Tamandua tetradactyla: one gene and its partner. Each later gene encodes a partner of the first gene's protein in a complex. Links are inferred from orthologs where the notes say so. Each region holds a gene or a part of one and is shown in the gene's direction. Other genes may lie near its edges.

Evidence for each region.
Region 2: mitochondrial import inner membrane translocase subunit Tim23 (region 1) and TIMM17A share a complex: the UniProt entries of both Homo sapiens proteins name them as parts of the TIM23 complex. The link is inferred for Tamandua tetradactyla from reciprocal best matches to the Homo sapiens genes TIMM23 and TIMM17A.

Annotation. Positions count from the first base shown.
Region 1 is NC_135339.1:5,643,740-5,652,284, reverse strand, and holds the start of mitochondrial import inner membrane translocase subunit Tim23, read left to right. Parts: upstream 1-5,015; 5' UTR 5,016-5,157; coding exon 5,158-5,263; intron 5,264-5,354; exon of another isoform or gene 5,355-7,367; coding exon of another isoform or gene 7,368-7,490; intron 7,491-7,639; coding exon 7,640-7,698; intron 7,699-8,545. Other genes in the region: PARG (poly(ADP-ribose) glycohydrolase), read right to left, coding at 316-382, 4,469-4,688. UniProt on the Homo sapiens protein: Essential component of the TIM23 complex, a complex that mediates the translocation of transit peptide-containing proteins across the mitochondrial inner membrane.
Region 2 is NC_135330.1:59,015,647-59,023,898, forward strand, and holds the start of TIMM17A (mitochondrial import inner membrane translocase subunit Tim17-A), read left to right. Parts: upstream 1-4,382; 5' UTR 4,383-4,472; coding exon 4,473-4,498; intron 4,499-8,252. UniProt on the Homo sapiens protein: Essential component of the TIM23 complex, a complex that mediates the translocation of transit peptide-containing proteins across the mitochondrial inner membrane.

The DNA of each region.
Region 1 (8,545 bases):
ATAACAAAGATACCACATCAATGTTACGTGTCAATAATGGGAGGCATAAAAGGCATATGGAGTTTTTCTTTTTGGAGCAATGAAAATGTTCTAAAATTGATTGTGGTGATGAATGCCCAACTGTGTGATTATACTGAGAGACAATGAATGTACACACTGGATGGACTGCATGGTGTAGGAATAAAACTGCCTTAAAAATTTTTTTCAAGTTAAAAAAGGAAAAGGATGAAGCAAAAAAAAAGAAAATAGAATGAAGCAAGATAAAACATACACGCATTATGTGATTCATTTCTCTATATAGGCAAGTTTCTATACCTTTCTGATTCAGTTGTCTTGATTGCTTTAGTGTCCATCCAACTGGTAATAGTCTTTTGTTTGAAAACTGTAAAAAAATAAAATTAATATATATGCATACATTCCTTCAAGTAGACTATCTCTACAGCATACTATACATGCAAGGCACTATGTTAGGTTCTGTGGTCAAACAAAGATTAATTACTTTCTTCTATCCTCAGACAACAGGATATAAGTGAGAAGCATAACTATATACATATGGCATAGGGTAGAAGATGACTGGCCCCTAAAAGAGTTTGTATGGCTTTATACATGAGGCGCAGGCTCTGGAAACAGACCACCTGGATTTGAATCCTGGCACTCTCACTGTGAGAGGTCATTTCTCTGTGTCTCAGATTCCTTATCTGTAAAACACGAATATTAACCGTCTCTCAGAACTACTGACCAAGGGCACAAACTAGTTCTTGTGAAAATAAAGAGTAAAAACTGAGGAAAAACTACAGACTTCACAATGACTGGAAGTTAAAGATGACTCTAAGCTCCAAACCTGAGAGACTTGAAGGATGATAATATTAAGCAGAAATGGGAAATACAGACAAATATGTTTGAACAAAATATGATTGGGTAAATACAAAATACGAGCTGCCAAAGAGATGACTGAATAGAAATGACTGGTAAACAATAGCAAAGGTAGAATCAATGGCTCAGGAAAGGGAAATGCTATATAACAAATCCAAGCCACATTTTATACGAGCTTTAGAAATAAGTGAGCTGTCAAATTTTAATGTGCTGGTTATGGGCTAAATGTATATAAAATTTTAGTATAAGGACAGATAAAATCTTTACATTCTCATCTACTCTCCAAATTGCAATGTAAGAATCTAGGCACCTCCTTAAGTCAAAGACTCAATTCATACCTATGTCTTCTCAAACACTATAATGTAAGCAAAAGAGATGCTGGCTCAAACATGCAAATCAACCGATTATCTACATCTGAGATGATAGAGTAATTAAAATACATTTCAGATTTGAAGAGACTTTTATACCAGAAAAATATTCAAAAGACATGTGATTTATATTTGCCATAAAGTACTGATATTTCAATTAGTAAAAATCTTTCATTAATAGATTTTTAAATAGTTTCTATCATAAAAATTACATATAAAATATTGAAGTTTATGATTCTTCTTGTTAAGTACCATTATTTTAGTGATTTTACTTAGTAAAATCTCAAACACAAGATTGATTCAAATAACAGATTCATTCTTTGAGTCAGTTTAGAATTTAAAACACCTTTTCCATAAACGTAAGGATTAAACAGAATGCAAAGACTAGGTCCCTCTAACACACATGAAACAGTACTACAGTGATACATCTACAGAGCCTAATAACTATATACAACATTATTTCGTGAAAAACTGTGATGAGTGTTCCAGTTAAGTACAAGGGGAAGAGGGCTCTCTCCTGCAGCCCTGACATGGAGAATCTGTTTTGTCTGGCTTCAGGAATTCTATAACCTGGAAACCTGAGAAAGGTATGAAGGAAAAGAATCAAGAGGTGAAGGGCCATTATTTTCTGCTAATAAACCATTTCTTAGTGTGGGCAGTCTTTCTTGCCTTCAAGTACCCTTGGTAAAGGACTGCTACTTCTCTTTCCCGCATCACTGCTCTGGCTTTCAAAGGTTTCTTACCTAACACATCACAGGACTGTTATAAGATGTTACCACTCTGATTCCTAAAGTAGCATAAAATCATGCAGAGGCTTCTTTCTTTTAACCAGAAATAATGAGAGCAAGGCAAAAGGGAAAAAGGAGAAGGAAAAAAGATACAAACTCTGGAGTCATGCAGCGTTAGGTTGAAATTCTGGCTCTATCATTTACTAATACCAGCTCGGGTGAGTTACTTTCCTTCTTTGAGTTTCTACTACTCTCTTGTAAAATGGGGTCAACAACACATACTTCCAAGGGTGAGAAGAGCACTCTAGGTAGTCATAACAGGCAGAAAAGCGGAGCTTCTATAGCAACGCAATTGGGTAAGTTATTCCTGACCAAGATACGAACAGCATACTGATTTCTACCTATATGTACATTCACAGATTTTAATATGAGAAACATACATAGGCAGATAAATAATACCAAATGTAAAGAAAACAAATAAATGTCCATTTCCCTACCCTACCTATTCTTCTAAAATAACTAAATACAGGTGTTTTGTTTTTTTTTTTAGGAAAAGAATTTTACTAAAAGATTTTCAAACTATGAAACAATAATTTCTGATATACATTTACTTTGAACATTCTATTAACCAATGTCCTATGTCAGGTATAAAAGAAAATATTTACACAGATGGGGTACAGTCCAAGTATTAATCTGGTTCCTCTTCTGCAGAAAACTCAAGATCCAAACAATGAGGCTTGACTATTTTACCCCCAGGAATTAGCCCCACCTCCTTTATATACAAATAAAATGAATGGAACCACAGAGTACCCTCTCACAGAAGTCAGATATAGTGCGTTGAGGTTATCCTCAATTCCTCTCCCTTGTACTCTCCTTTACCACATTCGCTGAAATCTACATTCTAAATCTTAAATCCATTCCTTCCTCTCCACCTTCAATAGCATTATCATTAAAAGAACAGTTACATCACCTATTAGTCAAGGGTATTTGCTTCCTTCAACTGGCCTCCATCACTCTTTTCTACAGTCTTAACATTCTCTAATCGAGTGTTTTACAAACTTCCAAAAATGATGAGCATTTTAAAAATGAAAGAGGATATAAGAATGCACCATACATAATTAAGGTAGGTCTTATTTCATGAAATATTTGTTTCAGTCATAAATATGAAATATTTACCACATTACATATATTTCTTACTCTGTATACTAGATAAAATGTAGTCTGCAGGGTGTAGGCAGAAAAAGTCCAAAAGATACTTCCAAAGACATCCTTCCTAAAATATTAACCAAATGGCATTCCTCTGCTTAAAAGATGTTAGTGGCTTCCATTACCTATAAGCTCTTGCCCATGTTCTCACCCTCACTCCAACATTCCTATCCAGTCCTACCAACTTTTGCAAGAGCTGTTTCCTCTGCTTATATAATGTTTTCTCCCCTTTTATACAGCAAACACTGTTCCTCCTTCAAGACTTAGTTCAAGTCTGTCTCCATTGTTTCTAAGTCCCAAGAGACCTACATATAAACCATTCACCATAGGCCTACCTGACTTTGCCCAGTTGATTGATGCACCTTTTTGAAATGTTCTCTTCTCTGCATGGCACCACAGAGGCAAGCATTTTCTGCTATCTCCCTGGTTTCTACTCTTTAGTATTCACTTAAATGTTGGTGTTCCTAAAGGTTCTGTCCCAGGTTGTGTTTACTTATCTCAACACACTTCATTTGATCTAATCTATTTCCACAGCATCAATTACATATTTATGCCAAGAACTCCCAAATCTACACTTCTGGCACAGAGCCCCATATCCACATTTCCCATTCTTTTCTAAAACCATCCACTATTTGGATATCCAAGTCTAAGCACTATTATCTACTACCTAGACTAATTCTTAACTAATCTTGGGTCTCATCCACCTCTGCCTCCTTCCAATGTTTTACGTTTTCCACACACCAGCCACAGGGAGTTTTCACACACACACACACACACACACACACACACCTGATCAGTCACTCCCCTACCCACTAGAGGGTTCTCCTTACCCTTAGGAATAAAGTTCAAAAGCCTCAGCACAAATTGCATGACCAGTTATGACCTGACCCTTGCCTACCTCTCTGCAGTTATTAGTCTCTTCTATACACCAGCCGCACTCCTGGAATACTTCTCTATCTTCTCTTCACTCAGTCAACTCCTACTCATTCTTCAGGCCTCAAATAAGCATCCCATTTTGGGTCCCACAGTCTAAGCTAGGTGGTACTTCTGACTTCCACTGTTAAACTCTGTCCTTCACTTATGACAACATCCATTACCCCTTATTATATTGACTTTATAACTGTTTATGTTCCCTGATAGATTTTTGAAGGCAGAAGCCAGGAAGTTCAGCAAGAGAACCACAGAATGGTTCGCACAAGGCCAGAAAGGAATGATGGGGGTCCCCGGGTCCTAAGAGACCGGGAAGAGATTCGAGTCCGGGAGACAGACAAAGACTTTTATGCTCCCACGTACCAAGAGAGGTGGTGCTGCCTCTGTGCGGTCCCGCCCGCCCCGGGACGCAGCCTGGAGAGGACGGTGGGACCCTGAACTGCACGGGAGCGTCCTTGAGGTCGAGGACGCGCTTCTGCCTGCCGGGGAAGCCGCGGGTGTCCGAGGCGGCCGGCGGAGAAGTTGCAGCGGCGCCCCAACGGGGTCGCTTGGTGCACGGCTCACAGCCAGGGCCCGCATTCATGCTGGGACCCACGGCGCACAGTTCCCGGGCCGACCCCGGCGGAGAGTTTCATTCACTAACCCTGAGAGGGACGGACTGCGCCTCCTTATCGGCGCTTCCCCACAACATTCCCTCTCCGCCGCTGCCGGCTTCTGCAGTTGCTGCTCCGCGGGCCTCCCAAGCCGGCCCCTATCCAGGGGCCTGTCTTCCCTCTTCTACAGGGACCCCCACCTGCCTCAGGATGCGCCGCTTTGACTCTGGCTTCGTTCACTTTCCCACCACCGGAAGGTTGCCGTCAGGTACTTCCGGCTTCCGGGGCGTACGCTGTCGCAAAGCGGAAGTGTGGCGAGTTTAGCGAGCGCTGCCGTCCGGAAGGTCAGCGTGTGAAGGAGGCGGTGGCAACGCGGGTCTCCCCGCGGTTAGTGAGGTGCAACGGCCGAGCGGACGACCCCGGCTTGAGGCATCGGCTGGAAGCAGGCGCAGGCACACCATGGAGGGCGGCGGGGGAAGTGGAAACAAAACTACGGGGGGCTTGGCCGGCTTTTTCGGAGCCGGCGGAGCGGGTTACTCGCACGCGGATTTGGCCGGCGTTCCTTGTAAGTATCGGGCCTAGCCTGCGACTATTTCTGATTCTGATTCATTTTGCGACTACACGACCTTGTGGTATTCCTTATTCTTTTTATTATTTTTTTTGCGGGCATTCACAAGTTTCAGTTCCAGGAGGGGTTAGAGTGTCTTTTGAGGATTGAAAGGATTTGGGGGCCCGTGAATCCCGGAGAGGCTCTCTGAGGTTGACCTGAACTCTGATGCTGCTTGTATTCTCCATTTTGTATCCAAAGTGGTGCTTTTTCTTTCTTCGGATACGTTGCCTGTGTGTTTGGCCCTTATATTAAGAGGGAGCCCAGCTCTGTGAGTAAATATATTCCATATAGCGAGTCTTTAGATAGCTTATTAACAGCCACGTATTCGACATCAATATCCATTTCCCTACCTAGCCGTGAAGGCAAAACGTTGAATAATTGTGTCCATTTAAGAGGTAAACATATATGAGTTGAGCCAAGCCAGGAAACCATATGAAGGAACTGGGAAGTGAGCTGAACTTTAAAGGTGACTTACAGACATGAAGAGAGAAGCCAAGTGGGGATTCTAGGTGGAGAAATATGCAAGATGCAGAGTGCAGAGACGTGGAAACCCTATCCCTGCCCTGCCCTCAATCCTAGGAATATGCATTTCAGGTGTTTGAAACTTGTTAGTCGTAGATATTCAACTGTATAAATTAGAAGTTGGACATAAAAATAATAGAAAGTTGGTGGTGGATAAGCCCTTTGCCAAAGTATTTTCTCTTTGGAGAATCCCTGGACATGTTTCTGTAGGACTTTCACACTCAAGGACAAAAAGTGCCCTTTTATATACATAGTGTCACCAGTATCAGAACTGGGTCCAGAACACAAATTATACTATATGTAATGACTTAGGCACTCTGAATTTCAGAACACAAAGGGAACTTCCTTAATGTGATGAAATATTGTTAAATTGATTTGATTAGGTTAAAGATTTGAAGATTAAATTGAGGCACTGTAAGGTGAACAGTGTTAATTAAGTACCTCCTACAGTGTGCCAGCTGCTTTTCAGGGTGAGGGGCTACAGCAGTTTAAAAAAAAATTTCTCCATTTGTGGCTCCTGCATCCTCCTGAGGTGAGCCAGTTAACACATAAAAGCATTTTGGATAATGACAAGTGCTGTAAAGGAAATAAAACAGGATCATGAGATGGTCATGGGACAGGGGTAATTTGGAGCAGGTGGTCAAGGGAAGCCACTCAGTGGAGATGACATTTGAGCTGTGACCAGACAGAGAAGTTGGCTAGTATGCGTGCCATTAGACAAAACAGTCATGTTTGAGAAACAACTGACTGTTAAGCCAGTGTGTCTGCAGAGTTGCAAGGGGGTTGAAATGGTAGGAGTTAATAGGTCAGAGAGGCTGGGAATCACAGCTAAGGTAAGTTTTGTAAACCATCCTGAGGAATTTGGGATTTGATCAACTATAGAGAAAAACCATTAGAAAGCTTTAAGTAAGGGAGTGATGTGATTGAATTTCCTTTAAAAATCACTGATTGGTATATAGAAAGTAACCAAAGGGGCAGGAGGAAGCAAGAATTCCAGTTAGGTAGGAGTCTGTGGCTATAGTCAAGGTGAGACTTGATGTTGGACTAGGGTAGTAGCAATGGAGATAGTGATAAATAACAGTTTAAGATCTATATTGAAAATAGAACAGGACTTGGAATTGATTAAAAAGACAACAGTCATGGGTAATGTAGACATTTGTGAGCAATCACTTGAGATATGGAGGTAGTCAGAAGTTAAATTTTTAATGAAAGAAAGATGATTTTCCTAGATATAGTTTTCTCTCTTTAAAGTTAGTGAAATTCATTTCTGCATCTCTGAAGGTTTGTATTTTCTTTGGTCACTACCCATCCCCATGGTGATGACCAAAGAATTCTCTTCCCTGCCGTGGTAACTCAAGACAGCAACTGTCAGCTCTAAGATCTGAAGAAACTGCCTTAAACACACGTTTTTTTCCCCCATGAAATTTGTCTTCTCTTGGTCTTATTTTGCAATTTGTGTAGTTACCAAGCATTATTTCAGCAAAGTAGAAAGTAGTTAGTTCTATAATTGACATAGGCTGTGTTTCCTGTTAGTTTGATGATTAAACCTATATTATGGCCCATATTTTCTTGGTGTGAGAATCTGCACCACCAGTGCAAGACCAAGTTGGGGCTGAGAGCCCCAGGAGGAGACACGCCCCCAGCCTGCCAGATAGGAAGGGTAAGCCTTAAGAGAAGGGCAGGGTGCATTGACAATCAGTGAGCCTATAAATTCGAATTACAAAACCCATGTAACAATCACTGAATTAACTCCAAATGAAATAGCTTTAAATAATTTTGTTGCAATACGACATTTTGTTTTTTCTCTAGTAACTGGTATGAACCCTCTGTCTCCTTATTTAAATGTGGATCCTCGCTATCTTGTGCAGGTAAGATTAAGATTAGTCCTTTTATAATTTTCCTAAATTGGTGTTTTATTTTGCCATTTTGGAAAACTGCTGGGTATTTATGATGACTTGGATGTTTGTATGACATGTACTTCTGAAGCCACCAAGTCTCTGGTCTCCCTTTTTTTTCTCACAAATCTTAGGTACTTGGCTTACATCTCCCTGAAACCAGTTGATTGACTTTCTTTTAAGGTTCATTTTCTTAAAACAACAAAGAATTAATAAAAAGAACAAATTGTGGTAGGTAGTTACAAAGTTTTTAAGAAAGCATTAGTACCAAGTTAAAAGTAAATGAAAATGAGGGTGTATGAGTGGTTCATTGGTAGTATACTCTCCTTCCATATGGGAGACCCAGGTTCGATTCCAGGACCATGCACCCCCCCAAAAAAGAGTAAATAAAAATGAAAAGCCTGGGACTCTTAAAACAGAATCTGTTTATATAAGAATAGGCGGAAAAATTTGTACCTCACTACGTGTTTATTTTATTAGGTCAGATTTATAATTTTGTTTAAAAGTTTATAAGAATTAACTTGTGATGAATGCAAACATTTGAAATTAGTAATATACAAATTTAAGATTTATATTAGCCTCAGCATCCTCAGTTTTGTTTTGTTTTGGTTGGTTGGTTTTGTATTTGTTTTTGTGTTTTTTGTACGGGGAAAATCCTTATTTACACAGGTAAAATTGTAAATGGCAGGTTTTTTAAAAGCTCAGTTTGCAGTATCACGGTGCCAGACTGAACTAATCCAGAGGCTTCAGCCAGTAGTATGTGCACATCCCAATAGTGCAAAGTTGGTTTAACATCCAAAAATCAATTAATGTTCTGTAC
Region 2 (8,252 bases), on another chromosome or scaffold:
GGAGATGAAACAGAGGAAGAAGAACCAAAGCCCTTAGAACTGCCTGCCAAAACTTCCCTGAAAAAACTATTGATGTGTCAGCAGAAAAGAAAGTGGTAAAAAATACATCTGAAATACCACAGACTGAGAGAATGCAGAAAAGAGCTGAATGATTCAATGTTCCTGTGAGCTTGGAGAGTAAGAAAGCTGTCGGGCAGCTAGGTTTGGCATTTCTTCAGTTCCAATAAAAAGCCCATCATCTGACACCAAACCTATGGTTAACCTGGATAAGCTAAAGGAAAGAGCTCAAAGATTTGATTTGAATGTTTCTTCAATCTCCAGAAAATCTGAAGATGACGAAAAGCTGAAAAAGTGGAAGGAGCGATTTGGGATTGTCACTAGTTCAGCTGGAACTGGAACCACACAGGATACAGAGGCAAAGAAGAGGACAAGAGCAGAGCGCTTTGGGATTGCCTGATGAAAAGTTCTTGATACTTTCTCTTCTCCAGTGGTTTCAGTCACTCTGGTTCTTCTTAGTCACATATACCTAAATGCACAGTCATGTGCCTAGGTCTTGTCTTGCAGTGAGGGAGCATGTACCCCAGGTACATCTGTGAACTCCAGCAGTACTGCTGTTCCAAATTTAAGGTTGTCATTGTGCATAGGTTTTTTGTTTTGTTTTGTTTTAACTATTTTGCTTGTTAATAAAAGGAAAAACTGTAAAAAAAAAAAAATGTACAGAGTTTCGATTTGGGGTAGTCTTGGTAATGGATGGTGGTGATGGCAGCCATTGTGAACATAATTAACAGCAGTGAGTTATATATTTGATATGGTTAAAAGGAGAAATTTTAGGTTGTACATATGTTAATGGAACAAATTTTTAAAAAAACCCATAGAGATGTATAACACAGGAACCCTTTTGTAAAAAATGAACTATGGTTAACAGTACAATCATAAAAATGTTCTTTCATGAATTCGTAACACTAATGCCAGGTGTTAGTAACAGGGTGGTATATGGGAACTCTATTTTATGCATAATTTTTCTGTAAAACTACAATTTCTCTTAAAAAAAAAAAAAGTCCTACCATTCTCAAGTCATGGCTTAAATACCAACTTTTCGCCAAAGTTTCGTGAACCCCTACGAGCTCCTCACTGTCCTTAGTTTCAGTGTTCACAATTGCATTCAAATTGTTCAATTTTGAAAACTGCCTGGGCTAATATGGTGCTATATGTCACACCTTTTGGTACTTTATAATTTTGACCCAATATCTATTCCTTAAAGGTGCATTCTTTCTCGCCAACCACACTGAGGCCTCTCAGGAAAGGAAACATTTCAGTATTTTTTGTACTCCCCCATTCCAACCCTAAAACTAAGGACAGTGATGAGTATAGAATAGGGGTCTTATAATTGACCTACAGTTGACTAATCCCACTAGTTACTATCGCGTTCTAGTACTACCTATCCACCTTTAATATCTATTAAATGGCCATTTCTCCCCAATCCTAACCTCTACCAGTTCACCCACATCCAAGAAAAAAACAACAGCTCTACCTGTGCAAGACAGGGAGATGAATAAAAGCTAACTGAGGACTAGGAAGTGGGTGGGGTGGGTAATTACTTTACGGTATGGAAGAAGATACCTGACACAGCCAGACTCATTACTTCACCAAGTTCATCAACACAGGTGGGAGATGTTCACATACAGAGGTATATGCCTCCAAACAATACCAGAGCACAGAGATCACAGGGGGTTCAAGCATGAGTCCCACACTGGTCCCAAAACACTGACTTGCAGCAAAACATATCCTGGTGTGCTGAGTCATCAGTTCAAACACCTGTCACCTTTACGGTGAGTTTTCTCTCAAGGATTCCTACTGTTTTCTTCTATCTTTCCGTTGACCATTCCTTCAGCGGCCAACCCAGATCCTCTAAACTTCTTCTAAGATTCACTCAGGGAAGACTCCTAAAGAGTCCCCATCTATTTTCTTCCAGAAAGTTCAGCATCCTAGAACCAAATGTAAGTGGTTATTTTGGAGGGAGAGGTGACATCTTCCTCTTCTAGTTCACAAAGGCTAAATCTTAGGTCTTGCCCCACCAAAACTGTCCGTTACACCCTTTATCTGCTGCAGTTAAAAGAGAGCAGAGGGATGCAAATGTTCTAAGAAATGATCATGATGATGAACATGCAACTATGTGATGATATTGTGATTTACTGATTATATATGTAGAACGGAATGATCGTATGTTAAGAATATTTGTGTTCCTTTCTTGTCATTTTCTTTAAAAAATTTTTAAAAAAAGAGAGCAGAGGGTGAAGACTCATGATGCTGGCTGGTTACTTGAGCAGGGCCTCCCTGAACAGTAAGCTCCTTTAGGATAAAGACTTTTGGAATGAAGTAATCTGGGTAACTACAGTTGAAGTCTAGCCCTCTGCTTTGTGAACTCAGAAACAATATTATCACCTCTACTGGTGATTGATTTGATTCAAAAGAGCCAAACTCATAAAACGCAGATGCATAAAACAAATTAACTACAAAGTAGTCAAGAATAGTTTAGGAGCAAAGGTTAGGACATTCTCTCCTATAGGAAAATCTATTCAGAAACTAAATATCAACCAGAGGACTGCATAACAAAGGTGGACAAAGAGCAAAGGGAGGTGGCTAGAGGAAAAGGATGTTTCATTCAGGCCCTAGCAAGACCAGGAAAATATCCCTGTCTCATGACAGTGTCACAGAGGATTTAAGGGATGATTTTGATTACTGAATCATATTCCTTTTTGCTTTCTGGGATATTGGAGTAAACGGAAGGGAATACCTGCAATTTCTAAATTGTAATCCAGCTGCCCTGATACCTGAAATGTTTGTAAAAGCCATTATCTCGTGCCTTTGTGACTGTAAGGGCTGTAACCCCTTTATCTGGACGTTTTCTTATAGGGCAAAGGCCCTAATGCTACTGAAGAATTTAAAGTCAGCCATTAACTAGCTTCAGCCCTGGACATTTGTAAATAATATCAGCTAGATTCTGCCATTGAAATCTAACTTGTCTCCCTTCCTTTTGGCTTACACCTTTAGCACTGAAGTGATAGTCTACCTCCCCTCCTTTCAGTTTATGTCCTCCTATGAAAATGATAGTGATAACACTACCTTCTTTTTCGCTTTGAACTTGCTATCTGGAATGATCTCATCTTCCCTTGGTAAAATTCCTAAAAGCTTTGAATACTCTAAACTCCAGGAGACAGAGTTTTGGACCGCTAGGCCATCTGTTCTCCTACTATGCACGTAGCAATAAACTCCCTCTCCTGTTGAATCTCTGGTATCTCAGGAATTGGTTATTGAGCACATAAGACAAAAGAATCCACAACCTTTGCCTGGTAACAAGAGTACATATCTCTAGTTACTGAAATATTTATGCCCACCAGATCTGGAGTGCTGACTAAATAGGAAAAAATTTCTCTTTGACTTCCTTATTCTAGGTTCCTCATTGTCCATCTTCTATATTCTTTCACCAGCCTGTACACTTAGATTTAAACTTTATTGATAACATCACCTAGTCCCATAGGTCTTCTTGAACTTACTCAAACGAGTTGTACTTCTCCTGCACAAGACGCATTCACTGACAATCTTCAGTTCTATATAGTGTTCAATTCATGTGCTTGCCTTATCTCCTAGCTTTCGGGAGGGACCTCATTCGTCCCTGCAGTCTCCACTATATTTATTACACTTAAGTTTCCATAAAATAAACATATACATAAAGTCAACTACTAAAGTGCTAAATGGAGAAGAGCTCCTTTAACAGCTTCCTGCACGACTGGGGTTTTGTGGACTGTTAAGTCCGAAGGAGCCAATGGGTCCCCACGCTTTCGGTCTCCTCTTTCCTGGGCTAAACATCCCTCACATCTCCTGGTAACTCATTAGGAGGAAGACCCACATGAGTCTTCTGTGTCTCTCAAATGGAGGGCCCCAAATTGGTCATAGCACATCAGTTGGCCTAGTTAGTTCCATTCGCAAACACTTATTTAGACCTACTACATCCCAGACACTGACTATAAAAAAGGGATAAGGCATTTGTCCTCCCTAAAAGAGCTCAAATAAGTTGATAAAAACTTCGCAATTCATGACAATAGCATTCATTCACGATCGCCATCCAAAGAACTAAAAAAAAACGCATTTAAGTGAACTTTTAAAGTTCGGTGAACCCTAGCGGCGTGATACCAAGTCTATCTCAGATCACCGAACCTTCAGCATAATTTCAGGGTAATTTGAACCCTTCGCCACTCAGGGGCCTCCCCGCCCACGCAATCCTGACGCCGCGCCTTCTAGGACCTGGGCGGGGCGGGGCTCGCTGACCCAGGAGTCAGCGCTCCCATTGGCTGCGGGAGGAAACGGTGACCCACTCCCCGTAGACTACAACGCCCTGCTCTCGGGATCACTTCCGCCGCTGGGGTCAGGCTCCGCCCAGTTCGCCCGGCATCGCTCGCGCCGGTGCAGTCAAGATGGAGGAGTACGCCCGGGAACCTTGGTAAGCTTTATGTACTGTCCTTGTCTTTCTCCTGCCCCTTTGCCCACGGCCCTCCCTCTCTCCTATCCCTGCTCTCTAGGTGAAAGCCGAACTCAACCGCGGGCTCGATGATGTGGGCTTGGTAACGTGGGCATCGCGGAGTTGAACGGCCAGTTGGCTTCTCAGCCGTGTATCTCCGGGGCCGCGTGAAGCAGCGTCGCCGCCCCCCAGCGCTCAGCACCCCGGTGACCTTGCGATGGATGGTCAGAAAGGTCCAGGCTTGAACTCGATGGAGTCTCGGAGCCTCTTCGCAACCCAAAGCGTACTTGGCCGGTGTGGAGTCATTAGTTGTTCCCTCGGCCGGCTGTGGTGACCTTGGACGCATCCCTACGCTTCGCTTTCCCCTGTTCCTACGTTGAGGAAGGGAAAATAGGCCTCCGGCCTTATTTGTATCGTGATGTGTGTCCGCAAGGTGAAAGATTTCAAACGAGTGGAGCTTAGGTTTTCCCCAAATGGTCTGGATAATTCCAAGCCTCATTTATTCGCTTGGAATTCCTCTGTGGGGGTTGGGGGAGCAAAATTTACCTGAAAAACCATGAACAAAAATACATTCATTCATTCGTTTAAGTGAGATTTCTATATTAAGTGTTTTGGTTTAAGAAATAAATATATGAATAAATCAGGCACATAAACAGATAATTATAAAACAGTTACATTTGCTGTCAGAGAGACGGCCCCAAGTTTCCTGAGTTTTCAGGCTTTTGGGGACATAAAGAGAAATCAAATCTTACTTAGGTTAATCAGATGTTTATTGTGTAAGAGCAAGATCCAAGGTGTCCTTAAGTTGTGAAAGTGCCCAGGACTAAATTATTACCTTTGCCGGCATATATCCTGTTGGCTGCTTCCACCCCTACCCCCAAATGTGGCATAGCAATAATTCAGTAGTTTCCAACTCTTTTAAATTTCTTTTTCAAAGGCAGTTGTTCCCCTTTTCACTAGACTATTGAGATTTGTTACACAGCATGTATAGTAGTGGTTAATTGCTTTCAGATATTTTGTGATGGCTTGGGTTGGCAGGGGCATAAAATATTTATCTTTAGTAAGTAAAATGAGAATGAGTTTTCATACTAACTCATTAGCCAGGCCCTTTGTTTCCTCTTATTACACCCTCTGTGTCTTGAAGCAGTACAGTCAGTTAACTAGTCGTAACTGTAGTTATGTAGTCATAACTGCTTTGTTCTTCTAACTGCTTGCTTGTTTTTTTTTGTAAGAAGCAGGATTCCCTCAGTTCATACAAGCTCAAAATTACAAGCTGTCTCCGCTACCTTCCACACACACAGTGTCCAGTCTGAATTATTTGAAAACTTAAACCTTTCTGTTCTTACAGTATTTTTATCATGTGTTCTCTGCTCAAAAACCCTAGACCATATGATAAAGTGAAAAGAATATGAACCTTAGATTTTTGTTAAATTGGTTCTACTAGTTACTACCTTTATGACCTTGGGCAAGTTTCTTAATCTCTGAACTTCAGACAGACTTCTGGAAAATAGGAGAGGATACGATTTTTTTGCTGATTTAAAAGAGTAGGGATTCTGTAACTTTTAATTCAGCTTTCTTGGAGTTCATAGATTTTATTTAAGTTATAGGGCACCTACAACGTAGTTGATACTTAATGTGTAACTTCTCATCTTGTTAGTGTTAGTTACTGGTTTTCTCTTGCATTTGTCTGGCGTTTACTGGCTTCAGTTTTTCTTTCATATAACCCATTACTTCTCTGCAGGAACATTTTGGTTTAGCTATACTGTTCAGAAAAGGTTTCTGTCTTGCCTTGGTTAAGGACATCCACTCTCACAAGTCTAACTTCTTTCTGATCTGAATCCTGCTGTTCTCTAATAAGTTTTAAATGCCCATTTGTTTGAAATCCTGATAATTAGTAGGGTCACTTAGACTAGAAAACAAATCTTAAACTTATTAGGGTCCCCCCCCCAAAAAAAAACACATCTACCACAGCAATTTGCATACGATGACTATTCTGTATAAGTTTATATTAATTGATTAATCTTAGAGCAAAAAGATGTTTATTCTTGTCACAGTAAATTGCCAAGGAGGAGGATAAGTAAATTTGGATCAAAATTATTTTTTTAAATGTAAAAAATTTGTAGTCAGTAAAACTCAAGCAGTTGAGTATTTTTTAATTGTCCAGTTCCCTATTCCATTCCTGTAAATATGCTGTTTCAGTGGAAAGTTTTTGATGCAGACATCACTGACAGCCAAGATGCACAGTTCTGTAACGTGAAGGTCACTGGGTGATAAATCTCTGCCACTTACTTTGTTTTGGTGCTTAATCATTGAAATTTTAGTTTTTCTGTTACCCTTAATGAGTACTTGAGTACCCACAGAGTACAAAGCAAACTAGGTGTTTTGTTTGTGGTTTGTAGATTCCATCATTTGGGTGATTAGGGTTGTTACTATTCTAAATTTCATTTTGTTTACCTTTTAATTGTAAAATATAATGTGATTTTCCTATTCTTTTAATAATCATAGCTAACATTCTAATTGCTTTTAGCATTGTTGTTTAATCCCCACCACAAACCTGTAAGTGGTATTATGTTCATTTTGTGGTGAGCAAACAAACACAGTAAGCTTGCAGCAAGTGATGGGGCGAGGAAGTAGTAAATCAATTTGAACTCAGAACTAATCTCATGCCTACATCACTTTACTACTTTTTGTTTGGTTGGTTAGTTGGTTAGTATTTGGCTAGCACTCATTCTTCATTTATTCATTCAATAAACATTTATTATCTGTAATGCACCAAGCAAGGATTGGGAAGTTGGAGATGAGTAAAACAGATTCTGCCCTCAGGGGCCTGGTGTCTAGAGGTGAAGGAGAGAGAGAAATACAAAGAAGTACATAATCCCAGTTCAAGTGCCCGACACAGCTAGGAGCAGAGTTTTACCGGGGACCTGGGGACCTTGACTAACATAGCCTGAGTGAAAGGCTTCTCAGAAAAGTGAAATTTGAGCTGAGCCTTGAAGAATAAGATGAAATTTTCTAGACAAGAGAAGAGGACAAAGTGTGTTTCAAGCAAGGGAAGCTACTGAGCCAAAGCATGGAAGTATGAAGGGCATGGAATGTGAGTGGTTAATATATAGGGTATGTGGGTGGAATAGTGAGTTTATAGCGGGAATATAAGTTTTGTTGTTATTTTCTTTTTGGGTTAAACCATGGGAATTTATTCACTTGCAGTTTTGAAGCCACGAAAATGTCCAATTCAAGGCATTATCAAGTTACTGCTTTTTTCCCCTAAGACAGAATGCCAGCGATCTTTGGCTTCTCAGTCACATGGCATATGACAGCATATGCTGGCTTCTCCCTTCCTTGATTTAAGCTTCTTGCTTCTGTGGTCTCACTCTTTGTCTGAATTTCATTCTCTTCTAAAGGACTTTCAGTAATAGGATTAGGACCCATCCTGATTGAAGTGAGTTACACATTAACTGAAGTAGACTCAGGTCCTACTTAAAATATTTACCCACTTCTTTTAAAAACAAAACATTTTTTATTGTGAAATGTAATGTATAAAACGATAAATTTCAAAGTACATTTTAGTAAGTACTTTTAGAGCAAATTTCAAAATATGATATAGATCACAGTTCACCATTTCAGGTATTTCCTTCTAACTGCTCTAAGACACTGGAGACTAAAAAGAAATATCAGTATAATGACTCAGTAATTGTACTCGTTTGTTAACTTCTCCTTTGATCCTTCTCCCAATCTT